7 linked regions of the Xenopus tropicalis genome follow. The protein of the gene in region 7 interacts with the protein of the main gene of each other region in a pairwise test. Links are inferred from orthologs where the notes say so. Each region holds a gene or a part of one and is shown on either strand. Other genes may lie near its edges.

Region 1 (4,096 bases), on a different chromosome or scaffold from region 7:
CATCCCAACTAAAATGCATGAATCCTTATTGGTGGAAATCCTATTGGGTTTATTTAAAGTTTAAATGATTTTCAGCAGACTTAAAGGAGAAGGAAAGGTAAAAACTAAGTAAGCTTTATCAGAAAAGTCTATGTAAATACAGCCATAAGCACTTACAGTAATGCTGCACTGAATTCTCTGTCAAAAGATTTCTCGAGTCTGTAATTAATGAGAGACACGCAGCTCTCTGCTCTCTCCCCTCTCCTGCTTCCCCCTCCCTCAAGAATGCTAAGAACTCACTCCCACCGAACTCACTCTGTATAACAGATCCTATGCCTATACTAAGTGTCGAATCCACAACCCATGCAGGGGCCCCTGCAGCAGCCCCCACAACACCTGCAGGGGGCGCCACCTGCCCAACCCCCCTCCACCGAGCACCCATTAATTAAGCTTAACTTCAGCGCATTGGGGGAGGGAAATAACTGGACTAGGGGTGCTCCGGTGGGGATTGGGTCTGGGCCGGCAGGGCCCACTGGCTCAGTCCGACACTGCTTACACTAAACCCAAGAAGTAAGCATCCAGCACTCTACAGGACATGGGATGGATGTCATTCCAGGGTGTGACTATGACATCAGGGAGTAGGGTTATGATGTGGCAATCAGTGATTGGCTGATCATCACACCATTTAATTTGAAGTCCTGTCCAGATTTCCTAATTTAGTAGTTTTTACCCAAACAGTATCGGAAAACTGGGCTGCCTGGGTAAAAACTGGACAAGTGGCAACCCTACCCTACTTTACCTGTGTACCTTAAACAAAAACTTTAAAAGTTTTGGGCATCACATGTATAACATATGTTTATATAAAATATCTACACTTTGTAAACAAATGCTGGCAATTAGTATGTATGAATCCATTATAATAAAATAGCAATAGTATATACCCTGCTAATGCTCTGTCTCCTTGTCCTTAACTGACCCCATTATCCCAGTTTATTCCTAGCGCAGCTGCTAATAAGGTCGCCTCAGCAGCTACCTGGCAGCCATTTATTAACTGGGGACTGTTACCCTCACCAGACACATCCAATAAGTGTCAATATCGATGATATCTATAGAAGTGTGCAAGGATAGAGACTAAGGATACAGAGAGCAGCCACAATAAAAAGAAGAGATAAAGGAACAAATCTCTATCCTGACTCCATTCTCCCATCTGCTCTTTTCTGGTTGGTTTACCCGAGCGCAGTTCCCAGTAGGGCCAGCAGAGGGCGCCGCGGCTCCCCAATCGTAGTATAAACAGAGAGTGCTGATGCAGCCAGCGGATTCGCTCGGGATGAGCGAGGTTGGACCCGTCGCAGCTGCTTCTTTGCATCCTCAGGGTCGCTGGTCAGAGATACTGCAGGCTGTGGATGCGCTTAGGAGCGAACTCTCCCCTCTGTGACACTGCGTTAGATTGGGAGCAGGAGGGCAGCAGGGGAATAGCCCCAGCAGCAGCAGCCCCAGCAGCATCTCCCTGGAACCCTCCGGCGTGGGCTCTTTGTCTGTGCAGGGAAGGGGGCGCCTCCCCCCAAGGTAGAGATCCCCTCTCCGGAGCCCTCACCCACTGGCTGGGCACTATGCGTGGGAGCAGCACAGGAACAGGTAAGGGCATGAGTGGGAAGGGGAGGCAATTCCAGCATTTGCTTCAGTACTGGGGGCAACTACAGGGGCTGCAGTGCATACAGAGCATGAAGCATCCTCAGTCTGGCACAACATCCCTTTTACTTTTATACTGAGAAGTGGTACCTTGTACTTCAGCACCAACACCTAAACCTTAATGGGTTATGTATAAAGGTCCAGTCCCTGGGCCAGTACATCAGGCTATATAGTGTATTGGCTTAGTAAGATGAGGTGTTATTGTGGCCCCTTGATATTATGGTAAATGACTTCTGGGCAGAAGTGTGTTCCCTGCCTGTACCTTATATGTACAGCCCTATTCTATGTTTCACTTAGGGAGCCGGGGTCCCCCAGCTGTTATTAAATGATATGGACAGCACTCCCCTATTCATACAAGAATGGCTATGGCAAATAGCAGTGTAAGCACTTACCCTTTACACTGCCCTTAATAGTCACTTTTTTGAAACTTGAAGAGAGTTATATAAGTGTATAAATATTTGTGTACATTTGACTCCATATTGCAACATTGTTTACTATATATATATATATTTATAATATATATATATATATATATATATATATATATATATATACAGTATATATATATAGCAACATTGTTTGACTATATAGCAACATTGAGTGCAATTCTTATTGTATGTAAGTATAGTCCTAATTTACAAAAAAAGAGTTCTTAGATAAAAGGAAAGGGGAGAAGGTGATTATTTTTTGCATTTGGAAGTACTGAAGTGCGGAAGTACTGGAGTTGAGACAAATCCATAGTTTTATGTGGGAAGCTATTCAATAGGATTGACAAATCTACTCTTACATTTAATGGCTATCAGCATTTGCAGAGTTCTGTGATAAATAGACTCATCGATTACAGTGACACAAAGACTCATCTTGTTGGTTCTGTACTGTGAAATTAAAAGTTTCTGCATTCAGAAGGGAATGAGGAATACTTAGGGACAAGTTGGTTGTGCCGGAACTTGCATCAATGAAGTATCTCTTGTCACCAAGACAATACTGATAGTAATGCTTTCTGTTCAGTTTCACTTCCAGAGCCTACTGGAAGCTGTCATCTCCACTGCTACTATAGGCACCATCTCTCCCTACTATACCTGCTATCCCACAGCCACAGTCCCTTCCCAGAGGCTATTATCCCCCCACTGCTACTATAGGCACCATCTCTCCCTACTATACCTGCTATCTCACAGCCACAGTCCCTTCCCAGAGGCTATTATCCCCCACTGCTACTATAGGCACCATCTCTCCCTACTATACCTGCTATCCCACAGCCACAGTCCCTTCCCAGAAGCTATTATCCCCCCACTGCTACTATAGGCACCATCTCTCCCTACTATACCTGCTATCCCACAGCCACAGTCCCTTCCCAGAGGCTATTATCCCCCACTGCTACTATAGGCACCATCTCTCCCTACTATACCTGCTATCCCACAGCCACAGTCCTTTCCCCGAGGCTATTATCCCCTCACTGCTACTATAGGCACCATCTCTCCCTACTATACCTGCTATCCCACAGCCACAGTCTGTTCCCAGAGGCTATTATCCCCCCACTGCTACTATAGGCACCATCTCTCCCTACTATACCTGCTATCCCACAGCCACAGTCCCTTCCCAGAGGCTATTATCCCACTGCTACAATAGGCACCATCTCTCCCTACTATACCTGCTATCCCACAGCCACAGTCCCTTCCCAGAGGCTATTATCCCACTGCTACTATAGGCACCATCTCTCCCTACTATACCTGCTATCCCACAGCCCCAGTCCCTTCCCAGAGGCTATTATTAGTGATGGGCGAAAAGTTTCGCCAGGCATGGATTCGCGGCGAATTTCCGCGTTTCGCCATTGGCGGATTGTTTCGCGAAACGGATGAAAAATTTAACCACGGAAAAATTCGCCGCACGTCCAAAAATTGTCGCCGGCGTAAAAAAAGAATAGTCGCGGGCGACAAAATAATAGTCGCGGGCGACGAAACAATAGCGCGCGACAAAATAATAGCCACGGGCGACGAAACAAGAGCCGCGGGCGACGAAACAAGAGCCGCGGGCGACGAAACAAGAGCCGCGCGACGAAACACGAGCCGTGCGACGAAACAAGAGCCGCGGGCGACGAAACAAGAGCCGCGCGCGACGAAACAATAGCCGTGCGACAAAATAATAGCTGCGGGCGACTAAATAATAGCCGCGCGACAAAACAATAGCCGCGAGCGACGAAACAAGAGCCGCGCGACGAAACAAGAGCCGCAGGCGAAGAAACAAGAGCCGTGCGCGACGAAATAATAGCCGCGCGACAAAACAATAGCCGCGGGAGACGAAACAATAGCCGCGCGACAAAATAATAGCCGCGGGCGACAATTTTTTTTGTCGCACGACATTTTCGGCGTTTCGCGGATCTTTTCAAAGATTCGCGAATTTTTCGGCGAAGCGAAACGGAACAGATTCGCTC
Region 2 (4,027 bases), on a different chromosome or scaffold from region 7:
TAATCATTGCAGCCCAATTCTTTTCTTCTGCATAGACCCCCACCTTTACCGTCTGATGTCCCATAACATCCAAAAATTTATTTAGAGCTTTGCCTTCAGTTAATACTAAGGTACCTTAAAAGTAGTATAAATAATGCTGTAATAATTGTAAATGTGATACCATGAAAGTATACTGTGATATGGGAAAGGAGTGCGCCAGCAGTAGTCATGAGGCCCATACTACTAAGCAGGACCCTCCCCTCCAATTATTTGCCCACTGGTCACACAGGGACCCTGCGTGGTAGGCCCCTGCCACCTACCAGCATATTTATTTTATTTTGTGCCCAAATAAAAGAAATATGCCCCTTAGCATATTAGCAGAATTTTTAATTGATTATATTTTTAAAGTTTTTTTCATTTCCATGAGATAAAACTATTACATTTTCATTATAGTTGGGCTTGGCGTGGTTTTGCTTGTGCCTGCAATTGTGTCAGGCGCAACGTCCCTATGTGAGAACAACAATGCTGGAATTCTGAGGGAAAAAAGCTGCATTTTGGAAAAACAGTGAGTTCCACAGTAAAATCGCAGTTAGCAAGGCCGCATTGAAAACAAAATGGGCCACACGTTTTTGAGTGGGTGACCCCCACTAGCAGCCCCATCTTGCTAATGTCTTTGTTGCTAGGGCCACTAGGATTTTATGAAATACTGGGGGTCAATATGTTATTAGTTATGGAAACAATGTTTGAGGTATCATTATTCTTGTGACTGACAAACTAACAATGTTAATAAAAAGAAACGGTATCAAGGGCATATTATTTCAATTTAGAAATGTTAAAAAACTTTCAATAAGCCTTTGCTTTATTTTTATAAATATAACCTGTTTAAAACGAGAAAACTATATGAACAGGGTCAAATCAAGGGTCACAGTTTAATGAATCTTAGTTATATATAACAAACGAGCGCACAAAAAGGTGGTACTCATGCGTACGACTGCGCACAAACAAGGCTTATAGGGAATTGTAGTTTTTACTTTCGCGCCTTTGCTACCGCCCTATACAGTTTCTGTTTCCTTATAATCAACAGCAGCGCCGATAAATCTTGCTTCCGAACGCAGAGGTTTCCGTTAGACCCGCCTCTGAGAGCGCATTGGCCTTTAGGCTTGTTGGAGCTGCGTGTCATTGGCTAAGAAGTGTCCGGCTTGCGGCCTGGATTTGTGCCTGTGCCTGTGGCTTCCGGCAGAGAGTGAGCGTTACCGGAGCGGATGCAAGAGTGAGGTAAATCCGGTTATTAATCGTGTCCTCCGGGAAAAGGAGTCAGCGCAACCTCACTGGCAGGGACAACAACTTTGTGTGAAACAAGTGTACAGTTCAGCGCTTACACAAGGAACAGACCAGAACTACATCATTTGTCATACTGCTGCATCGCTTGAGGTGCAGCTTCCGTGTGTAGAGCGACAAGGACAACATACAAGTTTGCTGACAACAGGTAGCATGTAGTGGCCCTGCATAAATAAAACAATTAAGAAGTATAAAATGTGGGGGGATGCAAATCTTCAGTTTAGGTGTGGAGTGCCCATTATGCAGACTAGTAGTTGCCCCAAAACCTACATTAGTAAGGGTTGTCATGGCATGGGCCGGACCTGGAGTTACTCTGCACATTGAGCTATGCATATCCAATGTGCCAGCTTATGAGTTATCTATTTCTAGGTGGTTAACTACTTGATAAGTTAGTGGTTAATGCTAACAAGGTTCATTGATTGAATTGTTTTATACCTACAAACATACAGGGTTAACTAGATTCTTAAGAAAAAAACGTGAAGTTTCTTGTTTACATGCCATACTTTGCTTCTGTTACCTTTTGTTAGAAGTGAGTCATGAAGGACCAAGAACTGGAGAATGGCACAGCCAAAGGGCCTTCCCCTACCTCATCAAGCCCCTCACTTCCTCCAGCCACAGATGAGAACGTGACTACACCTGGAGTTTGTCACCCTGCTACTGAAGGTTAGTAGTAGCATTTTTTTTATAGTGGGTGTCGGATTTTTTCAGTTCTGCCTTCCAGCATTGAAGATTCAACCTTTGGTCAAGACCTTCTTTAGTTCATTAAAGTTATCAGTCATTTAGACTATTCTCTCAAGCTCCACCCTGTAGCCTGATTTTTAAATAAGTGGTATATGTGTTTACAAAATAATAAAGTAAAAGAAAAGGAAAAGGGGAAACTAAAATGGAGGGAGGTAAAAGGGGAAACGAAAAGGTGCAATAGAAGGGAGAGAAAAGTACTTCACTAACAAATGCTGTTTATATACATGAGGGATACCATTCAACTAAGCATAACTCTTACTAGCCCTTTCCCAGGATAGCCACACCCAAAGAACAGTCACAGCTAGGTTGATGTTGTATGATGACCCATAGAATTCTCCAAGTTAGTAGTGTCCTTTAGATGATTAGTTTCCCAAATAATGGTATTAAAGGAACAGTAACGCCAAAAAATGAAAGGGTATAAAAGTAACTAAAATATAATGTGCTGCTGCCCTGCACTGGTAAAAGTTGTGTGTTTACTTCAGAAAGTCTACTATAATTTATATAAATAAGCTGCTGTGTAGCCATGGAGGCAGCCATTCAAAGGAGAAAAGGCACAGGCACATAGCAGTTAACAGATAAAACACTATTGTATTCTACAGAACTTATCTGTTATCTGCTATGAAACCTCTGCCTTTTCGCCTTTTTTCCAGCTTGAATGGCTGCCCCCGTGGCTACACAGCAGCTTATTATATAAATTATAGTAGTGTTACTGTAGCAAACACACCAGTTTTACCAGTGCAGGGCAACAGTGCATTATATTTTTATTACTTTAAAGCTCTTTCATTTTTTGGTGTTACTGTTCCTTTAAAGGTGTCATGTAGGTTACAGTGTTGTACAGACTGTGATTCTCATTCTTGAACTTTATTCCCATGGTCTAAAAACCTGTTCTACCACCTTGAGGGTATGAGCAAATTGCTATTCATTGCCTTTTCGCCCTGCTGGGCATCCTTTTGTTGTTGTTCCTTTGTTTACAGTTGTTGCCTTCACTTCATACTGGTCTGTGGGTCTCCTCCTTGTCCATCACAGGTGTATCTAATTCACACAACAGCGTTAGGAGATAGACTTAAAAAGTAACTGCATTTTATGATGTGATAGCCCTTGGTCAGCTGTTGCACTGTTCCATCTGTGTTTATATTATACACTACCCTGAGATCAGAGTCACTGTTAACGCCTTAGGGTTGTGACACACTGGAAGATTAGTCATGCGCGACTTATCTCCCCGCAATGCCATGCCACCGGCTAGAATGTAAATCGCCGGTGGGATGGCACTGCGGGGAGATTAGTCGCACCACAATAATGGAGATTTGTTACGGAGCAACTAATCTCCCCTTATGTCACAAACCTTACATGATTCATAAGTTCAGGAACAACTCTGATATGGAATATTACAAAGGCCCATATATTTCCATGTCAGACAGTCAGGTACTTGGCGCGGTCCCAGTGGTCAATCAGCCTGAGCTGATATGGGTCTAAAAGGGCAAGATAGTCAGATCTGACCCACCACACAGTGGGTTCAATAAGCAATTCTGAATTTGTGGCCTGATCTCTTTAGTGTGTACATATTTATGGCCAGGTTAGCGACTTTAACTTTAATAACTTGGAAACTTGCTAGGTGAATTTACAACACAGGTGTAGAATTAACTCCGATGTAGCAACAAGTCCTATCAGGTAGGACTTGTTTTCATTTGTTTCATTGCAGTTAACCTTTCAGAGGTATATAGTGCTTTATTAATATAGCTTACTGCTTCAGTGTAAAACTTCACCTGTATTGTGAATTCCTCTTAATTAATTCAAAATTGGTGTGAATTCTGCTTTACTTTTGGTTATTACTTTTTGGTTATTACTTTACTTGGTTATACTATCAATTTTACCGATTTAAAATCAGCTGATGTGTTGCCTGGTTGTCTTACAGTGGAAGGAGCAGCTGGTAATTCTGTTACTGTATGTGATGTGTCTGAAGAGTTAAGTA
Region 3 (3,982 bases), about 69 Mb from region 7:
TCTCCCCCATGTACCGCCTGCACCTTGCCTCTCCCCCATGTACCGCCTGCACCTTGCCTCTCCCCCATGTACCGCCTGCACCTTGCCTCTCCCCCATGTACCGCCTGCACCTTGCCTCTCCCCCATGTACCGCCTGCACCTTGCCTCTCCCCCATGTACCGCCTGCACCTTGCCTCTCCCCCATGTACCGCCTGCACCTTGCCTCTCCCCCATGTACCGCCTGCACCTTGCCTCTCCCCCATGTACCGCCTGCACCTTGCCTCTCCCCCATGTACCGCCTGCACCTTGCCTCTCCCCCATGTACCGCCTGCACCTTGCCTCTCCCCCATGTACCGCCTGCACCTTGCCTCTCCCCCATGTACCGCCTGCACCTTGCCTCTCCCCCATGTACCGCCTGCACCTTGCCTCTCCCCCATGTACCGCCTGCACCTTGCCTCTCCCCCATGTACCGCCTGCACCTTGCCTCTCCCCCATGTACCGCCTGCACCTTGCCTCTCCCCCATGTACCGCCTGCACCTTGCCTCTCCCCCATGTACCGCCTGCACCCTGCCTCTCCCCCATGTACCGCCTGCACCTTGCCTCTCCCCCATGTACCGCCTGCACCTTGCCTCTCCCCCATGTACCGCCTGCACCTTGCCTCTCCCCCATGTACCGCCTGCACCTTGCCTCTCCCCCATGTACCGCCTGCACCTTGCCTCTCCCCCATGTACCGCCTGCACCTTGCCTCTCCCCCATGTACCGCCTGCACCTTGCCTCTCCCCCATGTACAGCCATCTTGGAACGACACTTCCCATATGGAGATCAGATGGGATGCCCAGCTTTGCCATGTTTGGGAGTAGCTCGCTGTGGGTATAGGGTGCCAGGGGTGAGACAGTGGCGCATACTGGAGATGGTGCCCCAGGGGAGTCATTTAGTGCGAGGAGGGGAGAGATAAAATCATAGAGAGGAAAGCTTGAATGGATAGACATGGCGGGTGTGATTGGGCCATATACATGGTTGCCCAGATAGCCCAATGGCCTGTGTGAGGGGACAGGGGGGCACATCTGTCCATCCATACACCCCCAAAATAAGTCACTGACAGCAGAACTGGGGCAATCGAAACTGACACCCAAGGCAAATACCTTTTGCCCCCCCCTTCCCCTTTAATCCACTTTTATCCCAATTTTCACTCTCGGAAGACTCCTCCGACCCCCCCCTCTCTTCTCTCCCGGCCTCCAACGCCGACTCCCCAATCCCAGCGGAACGGCCGAGCCACATGCAGCCACCGGAAGCCACGAGCCAATCAGTTCCGAGCACGTGGAATTCCCAGTGACGATCTCAGGCAACCGACATGTCCCAACGGGTCCGGTATCTGCCACAGGTTGGTGACGACCCCCCCCCACCTTTGTTTAGCAGATCCAGGTGTTCTGTGTAAAGGCCAAACCCATTTCCTCTTGGAATTATGGGAAGGTAAAACCTTCAGGATCCTGATTGGAGGGTCCTGTATGCACATATAGAAACCGTAGCCGCTGGGGGAGGAGCTAAATAGTAAGGGGGAGTAGCCAATAACATTGGGGGGGGCTGTATCCGTGTGGGTTGATTTTGGGAGCAGGTTGGCCGAGTGTGTGCGAGGTCAGCTGACCTCTAATGGGTGCAATTAAGCCAATTAGTGAGCACTGTAGGCATCCGCCGGTCTCTATTAATTGCCCCACCCGGCCGTGCGTTCTTGATGAATAAGTCCTTCCCCCGTGGGTAAGGTAAGTCGCTAATTGCCCTCGTTACTTACAATTAAATGAATAATTACAATTAAAGGGAAAGTACACCTTCTTTAGCCACGTGAGTGGTGTAATGTGTCCGGATGCCGAGGCTGAATGCCAATCAGGGTGGAATGTGGGCTGTGTGGCATATTTGCTCTCCTCCGAATTCTGATAGGGTGACTTGCCATACCTGGGAAAGGGGGGGGAGCTGGGCAAATGCTGCTCGTAAAGGGGCGGTTTACCTTCAAGGTAATTTGTGTATGTTATAGAATGGCCATTTCTAAGCAACTTTTCAACTGGTCTTCATTATTTATTTCCTATAGTTTAAATATTTGCCTTCTTCTACCAACTCTTTGGGGGTCACTGACCCCGGCAGCCGGAAACAATTGCTCTGTGAGGCTCCAGTTTTATTGTTATTGTTACTTTTTATTCCTTATCTTTCTATTCAGCCCCTCCCCTATTCATATACCAGTCTCTCATTCAAACCACACCCTGGTTGCTAAGGTAATTGGAGCCCCAGCAACAGGGTCACTGACCCCGGCAGCCAAAACCTATTGCTCTGTGAGGCTCCAGTTTTATTGTTATTGTTACTTTTTATTCCTTATCTTTCTATTCAGTCCCTCTCCTATTCATATACCAATCTCTCATCCAAACCACTCCCTGGTTGCTAACATAACTTGGACCCTAGCAACCAAATAGCTGCTGAAACTCCAAACTGGAGAGCTGCTGAGCAAAGTGAAATAACTAAGAAACTACAAATAACAAAAAACGAAGACCAATTGCAAGTTTTCTCAGAATAGCACTCTCTGCATCACTAGAATATTGCACTGTTTATTGCCCGGTGGCTCATTGGTCATTAACGTTCCTAACCTCACTGCCTCTCCATGTGACTCCCCAGCAGCAGCAGCCGTGCAGCCAGTAATGGGAAGTGATCTCTGCAGACTGTGAAGCTGCACTGTGGTATGCGACTGTGTGCAGACCAGGAAGTCATTTCTACACAGCCGCCTTCGCCCCTCCCAAACCCCCGTGCTCTACACCTCTCCTTCTCTCCTTGCCATTCCTGCTCTCTGACATGGGACGGAGTAAGACGCTTGGCTGAAAGCTCCCAGACGGACCAACTGTTCTAGAAGAGGTGAGCTTACCCTTTATTGTAACCCCCTCTCCCAGGCCCCAGAGAGTTAATCTGATCTCTCTTTCTTATCGAAATATATATAACTTTGCCTTTAATTCAGTGTAACTACTGCGGCTATTTAGAAACTTATGCTCTGTGTGTATTTAGCACTTACCCTATCTAACCCATTCTATAGCACTGGTCCAGTCTGCAGGGAGGCAGAATTGTGTACAGAACCATGTACAGAATTGAATTTTGTAGCTGGACCATGTACAGAATTGAATTTTGTAGCTGGAACCATGTACAGGATATAATTTTGTAGCTGAAACCATGTACAGGATATCATTTTGGAGCTGGACCATGTACAGAATTGAATTTTGTAGCTGGAACATGTACAGAATTGAATTTTGTAGCTGGACCATGTACAGAATTGAATATTGTAGCTGGAACCATGTACAGAATTGAATTTTGTAGCTGGAACCATGTACAGAATTGAATTTTGTAGCTGGAACCATGTACAGAATTGAATTTTGTAGCTGGACCATGTACAGAATTGAATTTTGTAGCTGGACCACGTACAGAATTGAATTTTGTAGCTGGACCATGTACAGAATTGAATTTTGTAGATGGAACCATGTACAGGATTGAATTTTGTAGCTGGAAACATGTACAGGATATTATTTTGCAGATGGAACCATATACAGAATTGAATATTGTAGCTGGACCATGTACAGAATTGAATTTTGTAGCTGGAACCATGTACAGAATTGAATTTTGTAGCTGGAACCATGTACAGAATTGAATTTTGTAGCTGGACCATGTACAGAATTGAATTTTGTAGCTGGACCACGTACAGAATTGAATTTTGTAGCTGGACCATGTACAGAATTGAATTTTGTAGCTGGACCCTGTACAGAATTGAATTTTGTAGCTGGACCATGTACAGAATTGAATTTTGTAGCTGGACCATGTACAGAATTGAATTTTGTAGCTGGAACCATGTACAGAATTGAATATTGTAGCTGGACCATGTACAGAATTGAATTTTGTTCCTGGAACCATGTACAGAATTGAATTTTGTAGATGGAACCATGTACAGGATTGAAGTTTGTAGATGGAACCATGTACAGAATTG
Region 4 (4,056 bases), on a different chromosome or scaffold from region 7:
TTGTGAGCAAATAAATTGATAAACACATAAATCATGGGCAGTAATACCCTAAGCATGTATATTGCAGCGCAATACAGAACTGGTCTTGTCAAGTTATACAGTACCATACAATGACTCTATGGAACAAGTGTATAGGTAAATCAGCAGCAACCTGCATTAACCTTCCATATAAAGCCACCCACAGCAACATCTAAACTGCAAGACCGGCCTGGCACCCTCAACCACAATATCATGTCAGATTCATGTCAGATGATATGTTTGGCTATATAATGTAAATCAATTCTACTTTAGTTCCAGAATACACTTTTATAAGAATGTCACAAATTACGTAATTAATAAGCTATATGTGATCAATACAAATATAGGTTTCCCCACATACAGTCAGGTCATGTTCAAAAGTTTGGGCACCCCCTGATCATTTACCTACTTTGTTGTGAGCAGTAAGAAGTTTATGCAGAAGCAATGTGCAGTTATCAGGGATCCCTGATAAAGTTCCTTTAACTACTACTGCAGGATTCTGTGTCTTGGTAGAAATTCCATTGAAGGAATAATGAGCTGAGGAATGAGTGTGGTAGTGGGGACTTGAGAAACTTTAGTTAACAGTGGAACAAGGGAACGACACACTTAACCCTTTAAGAGATCATCATATTCAGCATTAGGAAATGCGATTCTTGCACAGGGTTACACAGACCCCAAAAATGTATGTTTTATCATGTTGGCATGATGCTACGTGCATGTCAGTTAAAAAGTATTAACCCTGAAATCCTTGCAAATCTTAAAGCACAATTACTATTTACTTACAAAAAAACATGTTATGTGCATATTGTTTTGGACATCCCTTTAGAAAAAAAATAATGCAGCAATGTGACTAACCTATTGCCAGTTGTCACTGGTTTGTGCATTTAATTCTTCTGCACAAGTACGAGTGTTAAATCCTTACTAGGGACACCTGGAGAAGTGCACTGACCAAAAACATTTTGATTATAGGTAGAATCTATACTTCCATCTATCCACACTGGCTCGCCACACAACCCCAACAGAACCATCCACAAGCTAGTGGCAAGGTGCTCTTCAGACCCTTATTCTTTTTTCTCCAAACATATATGGTGATTGTAGCCAAAATCAATGAAATGTTTGTTTCCTAAAATTACAGCACTTGGTTCCAAAAGGTTATTGACTGTTCTAAGTGTACTGTTACATACAACAGGGCTGAGGGCGACTAATCTCCCTGCAATGCCATCCCACCGGCTAGAATGTAAATCGCTGGTGGGATGGCATATGCATCCCTGCGAAGTCCCGAAGTCGCCCAAAGTTGTCTTGAGAGGAAACTTTGGGCAACTGTGGGACATCGCAGTGACGCGTAGGGCCCACTTTGCCAAGCAGACAACAGATAAAGTATTCAGAATACAATGGGCTTTTTGTGTACACCAATGGGGTTGTCAACTGTAATTCACTGCTTTCTACAGCGTTCTAGGAATGAAAAATATTTTTATAAAAAAAAAAACAATGGTGAATGAAATGACTTGCCAATTCTGAGCAGACATTATTAGATTTAAATACATTTACAAAGTACTGCCACCTTTTTTTTTTTTTTGTTATTGGTCATTTTAAAGTCTTGCACAACCAAAAAGGATATATACCGAGCAGCAAGTTTTCAGCTAATGACATACAAATATTTAACAATGATAACACTATTTTTATTGTTAAAAAATTGATTCGTGAAACTCCAAAAATTAAAAACGAATCAAGTCAAGTCTTGCCCTTACTAAATCACTAAGCAATGCAGCACTGCAATGCCACTTTTACTTCATTTTCCCAGGTGTCTCACTTTAAACTCAGATGCACAGAAGAGTAAAATTTTCAGATTCATACAAGTTAAGGTATGGGATCCCTTATCTGGAAACCGATTATCCAGAAAGTTTCGAACTACGGAAAGACCCTCTCCCATAGACTGCATTATAAGCAAATAATTCACAAAATGTTTATAAATGATTATCTTTTTCTCTGTAATAATAAAACAGAACCTTGTACTTGATCCCAACTAAGATATAATTAATCCTTATTGGAGGCAAAACAATCCTATTGGTTTTATTTACGGTTTACATAATTTTATTAGCAGACTTAAGGTAGGAGATCTGAATTACAGAAAGACCCCTTATCTGGAAAACCCCAGATCCTGAGCATTCTGGATAATGGGTCCCATACCTGTATTAGGATAAACACATTGCAAAGGTAGGTAAAATGGTGAAGCCGAGCTGCGTTGTTCCCCGGGGCCAGTGCATTTTTGTTTGTTAAAAGGAGCAGAAAAAATAACCTTGTCCTTTAAAATAGGGACACATCTATGTGGCTGCTCCAACTAAATCCAAGTCTTTACTGCATTGGGCTGTGCCCCTTTTTCAGTTTAGTGTAATTTATTGGAGATTTATCTCAAATCCACATATACAGATTCTGATTCTATTGTGGTTTTATAATCAGCTGAATCTTTTGTAAAGGATTCAATATTTGGTCGAATCAAAAATGACAGGTCTTGTAAATCCCTAGTTTAAACAAAAAATTGTATTAAAAAAAAAAAAAAAGAGAGAAGCAAAAGAGTGATGGGAGATGTAAACATTAATGGCAGAAGGGCCACAAAGGCGACTTCCAATCTGCAAGCAGACTGGCCATTACTGCGGGACCATGCTCCTAGTTTTATATCATTTAATAATCATTAACACATCGCGCCCTAAAAGCTGCGCTCACCACCACGGTCAGGTCCTGCACTGTCTTAGGATCTGTCTCCGACATAATGGATCCTTCTCCAATACCAAAGCCCTTTCCGGCCACACAATCCACCCCTCACCGCAGAAGCTTTTTTTCAAGAAATATCGCGATAGTTCAGGAGACTGCTGACCAATAGGCATCAAGAGTAGGAATTTCCCACAGGATGTTGTAGTAGTATTAGAACGAGGCTATAAACGCAAAGTTGTTGCCGGATGTGGTTGACGAGGTAGTTTCTATGGTGACAGGAGCGAATCGCTTAGGAAACGAACTACAACGCTGAGAAGCTTGGGTTGGGCCGCCAGGTTTCTAGGAGATCTGTTCCGCTTCATGGGTGCTTTTAACATAAACATGTGTATTGATGAAGATTATTTAGTTACATAACTTGCCGGGAAAAGCAATCCTAATGCAGGGCCACTTTTTATTCGACCCCTTAAAATCGAAACTAAAAAATAAATGAATAAAAATAATAGTGCAGGACCAAGTATTCAATATACTTATACAGCCAATATGCATGTAATGAAGCGTCACAGTTTTTAATTTTAGCATATCGCATTATTTGCCTATTGTGAAACAATGTCTCTCAATTGATTACATGTATTAGTAATTATCCAGGTCCAACAGCCTCAAGTAAATATAAGGAAGGTAAGGTATGAAGTAGGTAGGGATGAACTGAATCCAGGATTTGGTTTGGGATTCTGACTTTTGTAGCAGGATTTGGATTTGGTGAACCCATGTCTCTGGTCGAACTGAATCGGAATGCTTAAAACTTTTTGCCACATAAACCCGGAAGTTGAAAATGTTTCTGTTTAGACATTTTCTTCTATGATCTTGTCCCTGCTAAACAGAATTTCCATTTATTTGCTTAATACCCTTTTACATGACTTCAGATTAAAGGAGAATGCAAGTCAAAATTTAAAAAGCATACTGCCCAATAGTCCTCCTATTGTTTAGTAAAAACGCCACACTTTTGGCTCACCTAATCAAATATTTACTCAGTCACACTTACTTCACATTTTCTAGAACAGGCAGCCATCTCTAAAAAGGTATTCTCTCTTCCTTTCCCTCCTTGCTTCATACTGCACATGTGTTTCACTCCCTCCCCCCCTCCCCTCTGCCAGATCCGCTTCTGATTGGCTGGTGGGCATGTGTAGCTCAGAACAGGAGACAGGATCAAGTTACACACATGCTCAGAGAATAGGAAGGCTGCCGCTGGCAGCCTACAGGAAGGGAAGAGAGATTTCAGTGATGTCACTGTAGTCTTCACACTGCTGTAGGCTGTCAGCACCATATCTCAGA
Region 5 (3,500 bases), about 16 Mb from region 7:
ATATTTATATCCTTAAAAATCTGAGATTTGATATTTATGTCTGGGCTTCAGTATCTAGTGAGGTGGGGTTTTTTAGGTGTTGCAGCAAATGGTTGGTTAGTGGAAATGAAAAGGTATAGAACAGGCAAAGTATGCATCTGTAGTTATTGCAAGATAGGACATTAAAGGGTACATATCAGTGAAAGGTGTAGTAATGGCATATATCTGTTGCTTGTCTTTATGCAGTTTATTTATGTATGTCAAAATAATTCACTTTCTTTTTAACAAGGTGTGAGACCTCCTGGATATTACCCAGCACATGGCGGAGTTAAAGAACGTGGGGACATAAATGCTGATCGAAAGGCAGATCAGCAGCGCACACATTCTGATGCTGGTTCTTTATCACCTCCATGGGAGAGAGACCATAAAGCCAGTATGCCACCACCAGGTAAAAAATATAGTGCCTTCTTTAAAGTGGGCAAAGTGACAAAAAAAATAAAATAAATAAATATAAACTCCTTGAAGGATTGTTAAATTGTCATATATAAGCTTCTTGGTTTAGCATGGACCTCAGGGCGCCATCCAGCTGTAGGATCCATTTGATGAATTCTTTTAATTTGTCCATTTAACGCAGTAGAAAAGTACATGAACATTATTTAAAGACAAGGACATTCAGGTGAAGCTTTGAAACACAAGATGGGGATAATATTAAAAACGCAAACCCTAGTCCCTTTCTTAATGGAATCCTGGTGCTTATTCATGTGGCAACCACTCAGTGATAAGGAAAACACAAATGCACATTGGAGCAAGTACAAAGTGTGTCCATATAGTTTTATCAGGTTCTGCCACCTTGTGCTTTTTCTAAGCCTTGGAACATTGGGATTTGACAGTGTAATGCTCACAGTTTTTTTTAAAACTTAAACAACATTGACCTTCAAATAGATTTTGGTGTATATTAATAATTATAATATTTAATGCTAAATTTTTCCAGGTTTACCATATCCTGAGCTACCCTTCCCATCTAGAAGGCCAGAAAGATTTTATCAATACCCTGTATCATCAGGACGATTTTCAGGACCAGCAGAACTCACTAGAAATCAGGGGATATCTTTCACAGATCTGCCAGGTATGCTACATGTAGAATATTTCCAGTATATGACTGCCACACTTAACAGTCAAAATTAAGGTTACAAGATTTTCAAAGTGAAATCTGGTGACACATGTTGAGGTTAGGCTTGCAAAGCACACCCCACAAGTTTTTTTGTAGGTCTTACCATAAAACAATAATACAACCAAGCCATAAAGTCAAGGTATATTTCATGATTACCAAACTAATCAGATGTGTAGCAGTATAAATACAGTGCTAACTTCATGTTTAATTTTGCTAGGTTACTTAGCAGTATAAATGCAGTGCCAGATTCAGGTTTTAATACCCTCAGAACTTAAAGCAGTATAAATGCAAAGGCAACATCATATTTAATGTCCTAGAACAAAAGGAAGGAAAAACCCAAATTGTCCAACTGTCCAGTTTCCCTCTTAAGTCAAAGACCCACTTGCAACAAGAAAGGAAATTATGTTATAGTTATTGCTAGCTTCATTGTTTATCAAAGTGAATATGATATCTCTAATCACAAATGTCCAGCTGGCCTGCTTTCCTCTATAATTCTCTACATCCCTCAAAAACCAAATGATATCTTATAGATAAAACCACATATTACATTTTATTTAAATATCTTTAAAAAAAAGTACTTCCCTTTCTCATAAAAACGTAAACAGGAGGATACAAGAGGGCCCCCCCCCTACTGCTAACAATGTGCTACCAATTAAAATAGAAGTAATGGGGTATCACCAAGCACAATTTTTAACCACAGTATTGAATTCAAAAGTTCCAAATGGTAAAAAGGCTAGTAGAATCAATCCTGGTACTCGGTTATACCAATATCCAGTGGTTTTCAAGATCAGTGGCATTAAATAAAGCCCAGTAGTAGACTGTGCAGCCTCTAGGTAGAATTGTAGTTCAACAATGGCTGTACAGGGATACAAACACTTTTTTGAAAATTACTCTCCCTGTTCTATGACCAGTATAGCTCCTGTGAGGGAAGCTTATTCAATCATATTTGTCACAAAGTTACTTATATTGTACTTCCGTTATGAAGTTGAATAAACAAGTAGCACCCAGGTTTCCACAGCATAACTAGTCCATAAAATTATACTTATCCAGTGTATGGCTGTATGGCTGTTAAACCTTCCAGGACATCAATAATAGTTCGTTGGGATACCAGTAGAGTCCCAGTGGCATAACAACCCTGCATCGGGAAATCCCGGAACCCTACCAAATTAAATGAGTTTATACTTGAATATGTGGATAACTGTTTCTTTCCTTCCATGGTTTAGATGGTCAATCAGCTAACACAATCAGGAATGGATCTGAAGATAATGATGTATGTATGCAGCCATGTGGTATAAACTTTTCAGTGATTCTCTGGAGAGGCAATATATGTAGTATTTCTGTTTATCTTGCAGACTTTACATGGTAGTTCCAACCAACCACTTCTTAAAGAGGGGGAAACAGCTGATGTACCACCAATGGCATATGCAGTCCATCCCCTTCCTCCAATGCGGGTTCCTTTATTACCAATGGACCCTAGAGGACCTTATTTTAGAAGACCTTTTCCAATGCAACCACCTCCAGTTGACATGTACCCACCACCAGAATACCCAGGAATACCACCAATTCATGCTACAAGTAAGTAGTTAATTGTTTTGCTGCTTGTACTGTTATGGTAAACCACACAACAGAAGCAGCATAGGTAACAGCTCTCTCCAATATCTCACAGAAATCTTAACATGGATTTAGTATATAGTTTAATTCTTCTACAGTTCATCTATTCTTATTCTTTGAAAGACAGTAACAGTAGGAGGTATAGTCTTTACTATAAAAATGGCAAGATATCCAAACTTGTATATCACATTTGCATTAAATGCACTTTGGTAAGTTTAGCGTGCATATCTCTATTTTATTGTATTTGAAGGGATGGTTCATTTGAAAATCATACGTCCTAACGCTCATCCAGGTTAAATAAAGTTGAAATCAGTTAGTTTACACTCTGTGTTGTCTCAAACACCTGGGATTAAGGGCCCTAAGCCCATGGGAACTGCTATAGTCCTCTTGTAAATGATTTCTTATTGAAACACATTTCAATGGGTGATGGGGGAATCATATTACTAAAAACCTGTGGTAGTGCACAATCCGTGACTGTGCCGTCGGTGTAGTCGGTTAATCCCAGGGTCGGTGACAGGGTAGCTCGGAAAAAGAGCTGCTGAGCTGACATCCTGGCATGATGGCTGGAACTAGGGGTAGACTACGTGTGCGTAGAGTAGAGCCCTGTACATCTACCAGTAATTATAAAGAATGATTGCTACGTGTATGGCCAGCTTACTGAAAGGAAATCTTTTAGCATTCCCTAATACAAAGTTTAGATGAAATGTGTCTAAATATTTTCAAGCTCGTGTTTTGCTTG
Region 6 (4,077 bases), on a different chromosome or scaffold from region 7:
CTTGCCGGTGGGATGGCATTGGGGGAGATTATTCGCCCGCGGTAACAAAGATTTGTTGCAGACTGCATTTCAGAAAATAAAGCAGCATATGATCTAGGAGCAAGCTGTTGTGATATTTCTGCCACATGTTATTTTTGCCACCTGCCACTGCCCTTATGGTTTTAGGATCTCTGAGAAAATTTCAAATATGGGTCTTGCACACAATGTAAATTGCATTACAATGTTCAATAATCGTAGTCAATGTTAGTAATATTGATCAATCTGGCTATTTTATACGATGCCCCTGTGGCCTTGTATATATCCAAGCAAAACTACAAGTATGTGATCAGTCAGATTTTACAACATAGATCTATTGTTAAATTTTGTTTGTTGTGCTGGAATAGGTTGCAAAGTGACAACAAGTTGGTGACTGTACAAACATACTTAAATGCAGAGGTATTTATTTCTTCAATTTTTTTTTTGTTCTGTTTATTTCAGGGGTGATTCTATGACATGAGCCTTTCTGAGATGGGTCTTGAGATGCTGCCCCCACCTTCACCCCCCAGCAATTACCTTTCTTGCACTGGAAGTAGTCTTTGGGGTGCCAGATTGCTAGAGTGCAATTGCACTATAAGAGCTGAATTTCTAGTGCAATAAGTAGGAAATTAGGCTTATAAGATTACCAGGAGCAGATTTTGCCACTCCTGGTAATTACTGGGGCATTGCAGTCTGAGGCAAATTTCTTACTTGCCTCATGGCAGCGTCCCTGTTTTTTTTCTATATTTATATAGAAATTCTTTTTTTTTTACATGCTGTAATTTCCTCCCCTTTTGGGATCTATTAAATGATACTCAGTGTGTGCTGGTCTGTAGACTACAATGGGACCTAAGTTTTTTCTGTATAATATCTATATCATGTGACTGTAATATGTGACTTGACGTGCTATGAAGCTTTGGTAGGCTAATCAGACATTTGCAACTTGATAAAGGGAGTGGATTCTTCAGAAACTTTAACGTCTGGAGCTTGTTTATTACTGTTGTGTGATTTTGTGCAAAGAATAACAGTAATGCTTTGTTGCACTCTCTATATGATTTAAGGGTGTTGATTACCTCTACTGCCATGGATTTACTACTTCAGTGGTGCTGCCATAGGAAATCTTTATAGATATATATATATATATGTGTGTGTGTGTGTGTTAAATATATGTAACAGCTTGCATTTGTCCAGCTCTTGCTCTGACATGTTTGAGACATTCCCGGGCACAAATCTCTGCTTCTTCCCTCTGATACATGAGCAGGGTTAGCAGGGGAAGGACAGCTGGGGGAGATTCTATATTTGTCAGTCTCTCTCACTGCATGGACATTAGTATTTCAGGGCACTTTGTCTAAAATTACTGCTGGCCTTTTCAAGCCTCAGTCCCAGGGACACATCGGCGAATCTACTGTATGTGATTATATATTTTATCAGCAGCGTAGAATCTGGATCAGCAGGTAAATCTTCACAAGTACCATGTATCTTTGTGTGTCCCAGGCTACTTCAGCCTGTGTGTGTAATTTACTGTACAATAATGACTTACTATAGTTTGATAACCCTCTCTAGTAAAATCTAGTAAAATTACTGTTATTATTGGCTGGCCTGTGAAAAAATATGTCAGAATCCAGAGGTCTAATTTTAGCTCATAATTTTACAGTCCTTTATTGATTTACGCTCTGTAACATTTTCCGGTTACATATGATTATGTAAGTGTGAGAACTGTTTCTCTTGTGTCTAACCAACAGAATCTTATATATTGAAATTTCAGCATATAATATTTTAAAAAGTTGTCTTGGGCTATTCTGTGTTGTTCGATTTGTGTAACACAATCAGTGAAGGTAACTGTGCTGTCCAGGGTTACAGATTCAACTCTCAATCTCAGTGTGCACCCCCACCAAAGGTGTAAAACATGTAACCATAAATACTTAAACAAAGCCACTGAGAGAGAGCAGTGCAGTGCTTGCTGCTGAAAAGTGCATTAATTACACAGTGTTACACAGATTTGTGTAACACTGTGTGGCCTGTATTTGAATTCCAATCAGTTCTGAATTATGGCTTTATATTTTTATAAAGAGCAACTAATGCCCTAACTACAGTCAAGGTGCCCATACACTATAAGATCCGCTCGCTTGGCGATGTCGCCAAGCGAGCGGATCTTCACCCTATATCCCCACCTACGGGTGGCGATATCGGGTAGCAAGGGACTTAAAAAAAAATAACATTTGAGTTTATGGGGCAGTCGGTTCGGGGACGGCATCAACGAGCCGATGCGGTCCCCGATCCGACTGGATTTTCTAACCTGGCCGATCGAGATCTGGCCAATTTCAGGCCAGATCTCGGTCGGCCAGGCTGCTCTGTTCTGCCCATACACGGGCCGATTAGCTGCCGAATCGGTCCAAGGGAACGATATCGGCAGCTATAGTCGGCCCGTGTATGGGGGCCTTTATTTTATTTCTACGTTATTTCTTATGAGGATCATGTAACAATTCTGCCATGTTTAATCTGGTTGCTGAAAGGCCCAGTCTATGGATGGCAAATATATAGTATTTATTGTATACCCTACAAGTTACCTTTTTATATAGGATTAGTTTTACCTGCAGTGTATGTCACAGTATCTACTTTTGCAACCCAAGATTTGATATAGAATTTGTTTTAACTATTACATTACTATTACTATGTCTTTTAAATGGGATCATATTGATCAAGCCTAAACTGCAAAGCCCATTCTATGTTCTGATGAAAGAGAAGCTATAAAGTCAGATAAAATTTTCATAATATAGAATTTGGTGTCACCCAAACAACTACTGTATATTATAGTCAGAGATTGTGCTGCATACATACAGTTACAATAAGATATACACTGCTTAGATGAGCTATATTTTATATTTTGACACCTGGCACTCTGGTGAAGTGCACCACTTTAATATGGGTCAAGTATGTCTGCAAGTGCAGTGGCACATCTATATGTTGGGCACAACTATATGGACGTGCAAGAAGAGTATTTTGAAGAAAGTACCTTAATGAATTGGGTTTAATGTGCAACTCAGTGTGGAAAAAAGGGAGTACAACTGTGCTTGCAGTTCTAAATGGCTCCTAAGGACTAGTTATGCCCCTGAAATGCTGTGCTTTGCCTGAATGACCTATACATGTTATCTATAGCGCAATTAGCGCAATTAATTATCGATAGTCTATTTAACAAGTAAGGATATATTTTACAGGTTAGGGCTCTGGCACACAAATCTCCCTGTTCGCGGGCGACTAATCTCCCCGAAATGCCATCCCACCGGCGAAAATGTAAATCGGCGGTGGGATGACATACGCGATTTCCCTGAAATCGTGGAAGTTTCCTCTCAAGGCAACTTCCACGATTTCAGGGAAATCGCGTCAGGGAAATTGGCATTTCGGGGAGATTAGTCGCCCGCAAACAGGGAGATTTGTCGCGGGCGACTAATCTCCCCGTGTACCAGAGCCCTTATTCTAAGATTTGCTTATTACAGTGGTCATTTACTTATTGAATGATTGTTACTGCTGCAGATTACCGCACAATCTGTTGTGTAAAAAAATCCTATTTATTATATTTCAAGGGTATTGTGAAGGCCCCACTCTGGCAGGCTTGTGCTTGGATTCCTTTAACTCACTGTTGTGTCATTGTTGGAACACTGTTGTGTGTGCATTTTGATACTCTTGATACCTTTGATCCTTTTGATTCTCTGTTTCCTCATGTTTTGCCTTCTAAAGGGTATATTTATAACCTTACCTGTTGCTCAAACTTCTGTTTAGAGGATCTACTAAAACTCTTCCTGCTACTCTGCTTTTTCTCTCAACTGATCTGCATAGTTTTTTTTTTCTGCTCTGACCTGGGGTTGGCCTTGAGTACATGGTTTGGGTTATATCCACCTTTCCATCTCTTATATCACCCTGAGTTGTATTGGGTCTCTGCTGGTGCCAGAGCTCCTCAATACCTGTTGAATTGAGCCTAAATAGGTGGAGATGATTCAACTGAAAAATATATTTTCAAAACTACATCTTCAAGGGGTCTACCGTTTTATAAACTTCTAGCAAATA
Region 7 (3,500 bases):
TTTACGCTTGCCGAAAATATCCGCCTACGCCTCATCTGCCATTAGCCTAAAGGGTTGCAATGATAAGGAAGTGCCTGCTTATGTAAATGCTGGGCAGCATAAAAAATAATAAGGTTGCACTCACTAACTGTGTGTATTGTGTTTGTTCTTTCTTACATTATTCTGCATTTGGATTGCTGTGAGCGGTCACAAATTGAATAAATGTTAATAGCTCTCCTTGTTTTATGCTCCGTGTGGCATGATGGCACTGAGACTGCAATCAGAGCTAAATAATTCAGTTAATTTATGCAAACCTAAACATGGCTTTATTTTGTAGGGCGTACCCCAGGATTATGAGAAATTTCAACATCTTCTGTCAAGATGGCGTGAGAAGGTTTTCTGCCTCATGGTTCAGCTTAAATCTGAGGAAATCAACAAAGAAGATGACCATAGAAAAAGCAGAGAAAAAGTAAGAAATGGAAGAATGGTGTTGAATGGAGATTGAAAAAGTTGTGTGCGAGAGATATTTAAAAAGCAGTGTGTCAGTAAACAATGCACAGACATTTCTGTGATTGCAATTCAACTCTCTTTTGTTCTTTGTTTACAGTTACATTTTAGCCGGCTTGTTTTTCATTTATTGTAGATCTTATCCCTGGAAAAAGCTCTGCAAGAAAAAGATCAGGAGCAGATTTTACTTTTACACACCCTACAAGATCGTACAGCTGAGCTGGAAATGGAGAGGGTCCACAGTAAAGTGAGTATGGAACCTTATAAATTGGGCTTCATTGCAGTACTTTTAAGGTTAAGGGCAGTGGTTAGTTTTCCAACAGTAAATAATAAAGCTTCCCAAAATTTCAAAAAATGTTCTATTCGGAACATAAAACTGTTTGTGTAGTTCAGTATAGTCATCAGCCTTTATTTGTGTTAGTTTTATGTTTAATGCAGATGCTTAGGGGCTCATTTACTAACCATCTATTTTTTATTTTAAACTCAATTCAGATATTTTTCGACATTTACTATGCATCTAAACGGCTAAAAATCCGAATTTCATAATTTGCCTGATTAAATTTGCTGAGTTCATGTAGAAGTTAATCGCAAAGGTCCCTTCTCTTAAGGTTCTTTCTTTTATTTCAAAACCTTTGAGATTTTGCAGGGTTTTGTATGAAAACTCGACTTTTTCCAAATTGTTGCAGTAAATTTTTTTAGTAAATATTAGACATTTGGGAAAATCAATTTAGTTGAATTTGAAAATAGAAAAAAGTAGAAATTATGGCATTTTAGTAAATCTGCCCCCTTAATGTTTGTTCTGTATACAGACTAGGGATGCACCAATCCTTAAAATCATGTGACTTTTTGTCTCACAATCGTAGAAGCTGAAAAGTTTTCAGCACACACTACATGCGTGGTTCTCTTTAACCCTTCCTTTACCTAATTTACATATTAATTCCGTATTCGTTCAAATCTTTGGCAAAGTATTCAGGGTTCAGCCGGATCCTAAAATAGTGGATTTGGTGCATCCCTGGTACAGACTTGTTAAATAATGCTTTGGGTGGCTAATGTCAATACTTTTGCATTTAACTTGGTCATTTCATCTAGTGCCCCCACATGGCAAGTCACTTGGCTCATTTAATTAGCTTGTGTGTGTTTGTCCAAAAAATCTAACAAGATGCATCTCTTTCTGCCATTATTTGCACATTGCCATAAAAAGCAAATTATGTCTGACTTTACATTCCCGGCATTCCTGGCTCTGACTCCTGAAACAATGTTGCAAGCAGGCTAATTAAAACGACCTGGAGGTCACTAAAATATTGGCCAATAGGTTATCTACTCTAGCCCCTATGCTAATCCACCCTGACCAGGTGGGTTTTATAACAGGGAGACAGGCTGGAGATAACACCAGAAGGGCAACTGTATTACTGGAGGCAGCACAAAAGCTAGGCAAACCTATGGTATTTTTAGGGTTGAATGTAGAAAAACGTTCTATCGCTTTAGCTGACCTTACCTATTTTCCCTTCTAATACATCTTGCCTTCAAGGGCCCTTTCCTTACAGCTATACAAGCATTATATAACTCTCAAACGGCCCAGCTTAAACTCCTGGGCAAGGGTGCCCTCTATCCCCTCTTTTATATGCTCTAAGTATAGAGCCCTTGGCAGCATATATTAGAGACCACCCAGATATTCAAGGGCTAAAAATCTCCTCCACAGAATACAAAATAGCATTGTTTGCAGTCAATGTACTTCTATCAATAACCAGCCCACACACATCACTCCCTGTCCTCCATAGTATCCTTAGCACCTATAGCAACCTGTCAGGATATAAGATCAATATGGACAAGTCAGAAGCTCTTTCACAAGGTATGCACCCCATGACAGCTGAAGCACTGAAAGAAAAATTTGCCTACAAATGGAAAACAGATAAACTTACCTATTTAGGGGTCTGCCTTACACCTTTTATATAGTTCCCTTCTTAAAGGACATGTAAACCCCATACACAAAAATTTAATCAGTGATCAGCCTCTTTTAAATCTTTCAGTATGTGCCACACTGGTTGTCCAGAGGTTAACAGTTAGGCTTTAACATTGCTTCTCCTCCTGTAACCCACTCGGCCCCCTCCCTCAGGAATTTGCTTTGGCTGTTGGCTTGTGGGCATGCTCAGTTTTTCTAAGCTCAGATTACTAAACATGCCCCCAGTCTAGCAGCCAGTGAAGAGATGGCATTGCTGGTTCCCATAGAAACTCAGCTCTAGCTGTCTGCTTCAATTTTTTTTTTTCCTGAGCTCAGCTTTACCTACAGTGCTCAAACAAAGCAGAACTTTTATCAGAGACAGTTCTGCCTGTGTGAGCCTGTATTGTTGATGAAATTTATGCTGCATAAGGGTTTTTGTGTGTGTGTATGCTGTTTGCAGATTTAAATGTAACTGATTATGTATCAGAGGAAAAATGGCCACCGGGTGAAAGCAGCTATTTGCTTTAGGAAAATGTGATGGTGCTGGCTAGCGGAGGGGTATATATGCAGTACAAATGATGCCATTTGGGTGGGGGTGATGTGCCTAACTGATATACATTGTAGGCAAATGTAGGCTTTACATGTCCTTTAAGCAAAATTATTCTCCCTTGATTCACCAAACAAAACTCACGCTACATAAATGGTCAAACTGGTTTGGTCGTATTGCGGCAATTAAGATGAATATCTTACCTAAATATTTGTATTTATTCGAGACCATTCCGGTGACAGTACCTACTAAAATGATAAAGGAAGTTCTAAGTGCTTTGTAGAAATTCATTTGGGGTAATAAAAGGCCTAGAATTTCCAGATCAATCCTATTAACCAATATGTTACAAGGCGGCTTAGGAGCCCCCTCTATCCAAAATTACCATGATGCAGCTCATTTAAGGTGGATATCCGCATGGTCCCACTATCATACAAGCCCCCTATGGGCTAAAATTAAAAACCCATACCTACAGCCACAACTGATGAGTTCCTGGATCTGGACCTCAGGCCCTTATAAGGCCTTCCCAAA

The links.
Region 1: the proteins of cchcr1 (region 7) and mtus2 interact in binary tests that used the Homo sapiens proteins (3 or more experiments, as listed by UniProt). The link is inferred for Xenopus tropicalis from reciprocal best matches to the Homo sapiens genes CCHCR1 and MTUS2.
Region 2: the proteins of cchcr1 (region 7) and txlna interact in binary tests that used the Homo sapiens proteins (3 or more experiments, as listed by UniProt). The link is inferred for Xenopus tropicalis from reciprocal best matches to the Homo sapiens genes CCHCR1 and TXLNA.
Region 3: the proteins of cchcr1 (region 7) and card9 interact in binary tests that used the Homo sapiens proteins (3 or more experiments, as listed by UniProt). The link is inferred for Xenopus tropicalis from reciprocal best matches to the Homo sapiens genes CCHCR1 and CARD9.
Region 4: the proteins of cchcr1 (region 7) and hsbp1 interact in binary tests that used the Homo sapiens proteins (3 or more experiments, as listed by UniProt). The link is inferred for Xenopus tropicalis from reciprocal best matches to the Homo sapiens genes CCHCR1 and HSBP1.
Region 5: the proteins of cchcr1 (region 7) and mia2 interact in binary tests that used the Homo sapiens proteins (3 or more experiments, as listed by UniProt). The link is inferred for Xenopus tropicalis from reciprocal best matches to the Homo sapiens genes CCHCR1 and MIA2.
Region 6: the proteins of cchcr1 (region 7) and fsd2 interact in binary tests that used the Homo sapiens proteins (3 or more experiments, as listed by UniProt). The link is inferred for Xenopus tropicalis from reciprocal best matches to the Homo sapiens genes CCHCR1 and FSD2.

What each region holds. Positions count from the first base shown.
Region 1 is NC_030678.2:154,747,922-154,752,017, reverse strand, and holds the start of mtus2 (microtubule-associated tumor suppressor candidate 2), read left to right. Parts: upstream 1-1,296; 5' UTR 1,297-1,614; intron 1,615-4,096. UniProt on the Homo sapiens protein: Binds microtubules. Together with MAPRE1 may target the microtubule depolymerase KIF2C to the plus-end of microtubules. May regulate the dynamics of microtubules at their growing distal tip.
Region 2 is NC_030678.2:86,591,482-86,595,508, forward strand, and holds the start of txlna (alpha-taxilin), read left to right. Parts: upstream 1-1,227; 5' UTR 1,228-1,465; intron 1,466-1,844; 5' UTR 1,845-1,853; coding exon 1,854-1,980; intron 1,981-3,970; coding exon 3,971-4,027. UniProt on the Homo sapiens protein: May be involved in intracellular vesicle traffic and potentially in calcium-dependent exocytosis in neuroendocrine cells.
Region 3 is NC_030684.2:6,411,995-6,415,976, reverse strand, and holds the start of card9 (caspase recruitment domain-containing protein 9), read left to right. Parts: upstream 1-1,182; 5' UTR 1,183-1,360; intron 1,361-1,552; exon of another isoform or gene 1,553-1,736; intron 1,737-2,634; 5' UTR 2,635-2,868; intron 2,869-3,982. UniProt on the Homo sapiens protein: Adapter protein that plays a key role in innate immune response against fungi by forming signaling complexes downstream of C-type lectin receptors.
Region 4 is NC_030680.2:62,632,887-62,636,942, reverse strand, and holds the start of hsbp1 (heat shock factor-binding protein 1), read right to left. Parts: upstream 2,801-4,056; 5' UTR 2,785-2,800; coding exon 2,740-2,784; intron 1-2,739. UniProt on the Homo sapiens protein: Negative regulator of the heat shock response. Negatively affects HSF1 DNA-binding activity. May have a role in the suppression of the activation of the stress response during the aging process.
Region 5 is NC_030684.2:90,894,349-90,897,848, forward strand, and holds part of mia2 (melanoma inhibitory activity protein 2), read left to right. Parts: intron 1-268; coding exon 269-427; intron 428-970; coding exon 971-1,105; intron 1,106-2,373; coding exon 2,374-2,420; intron 2,421-2,502; coding exon 2,503-2,725; intron 2,726-3,500. UniProt on the Homo sapiens protein: Plays a role in the transport of cargos that are too large to fit into COPII-coated vesicles and require specific mechanisms to be incorporated into membrane-bound carriers and exported from the endoplasmic reticulum.
Region 6 is NC_030679.2:105,256,613-105,260,689, reverse strand, and holds the start of fsd2 (fibronectin type III and SPRY domain-containing protein 2), read left to right. Parts: upstream 1-1,277; 5' UTR 1,278-1,469; intron 1,470-4,077.
Region 7 is NC_030684.2:75,158,315-75,161,814, forward strand, and holds part of cchcr1 (coiled-coil alpha-helical rod protein 1), read left to right. Parts: intron 1-316; coding exon 317-448; intron 449-622; coding exon 623-733; intron 734-3,500. UniProt on the Homo sapiens protein: May be a regulator of keratinocyte proliferation or differentiation.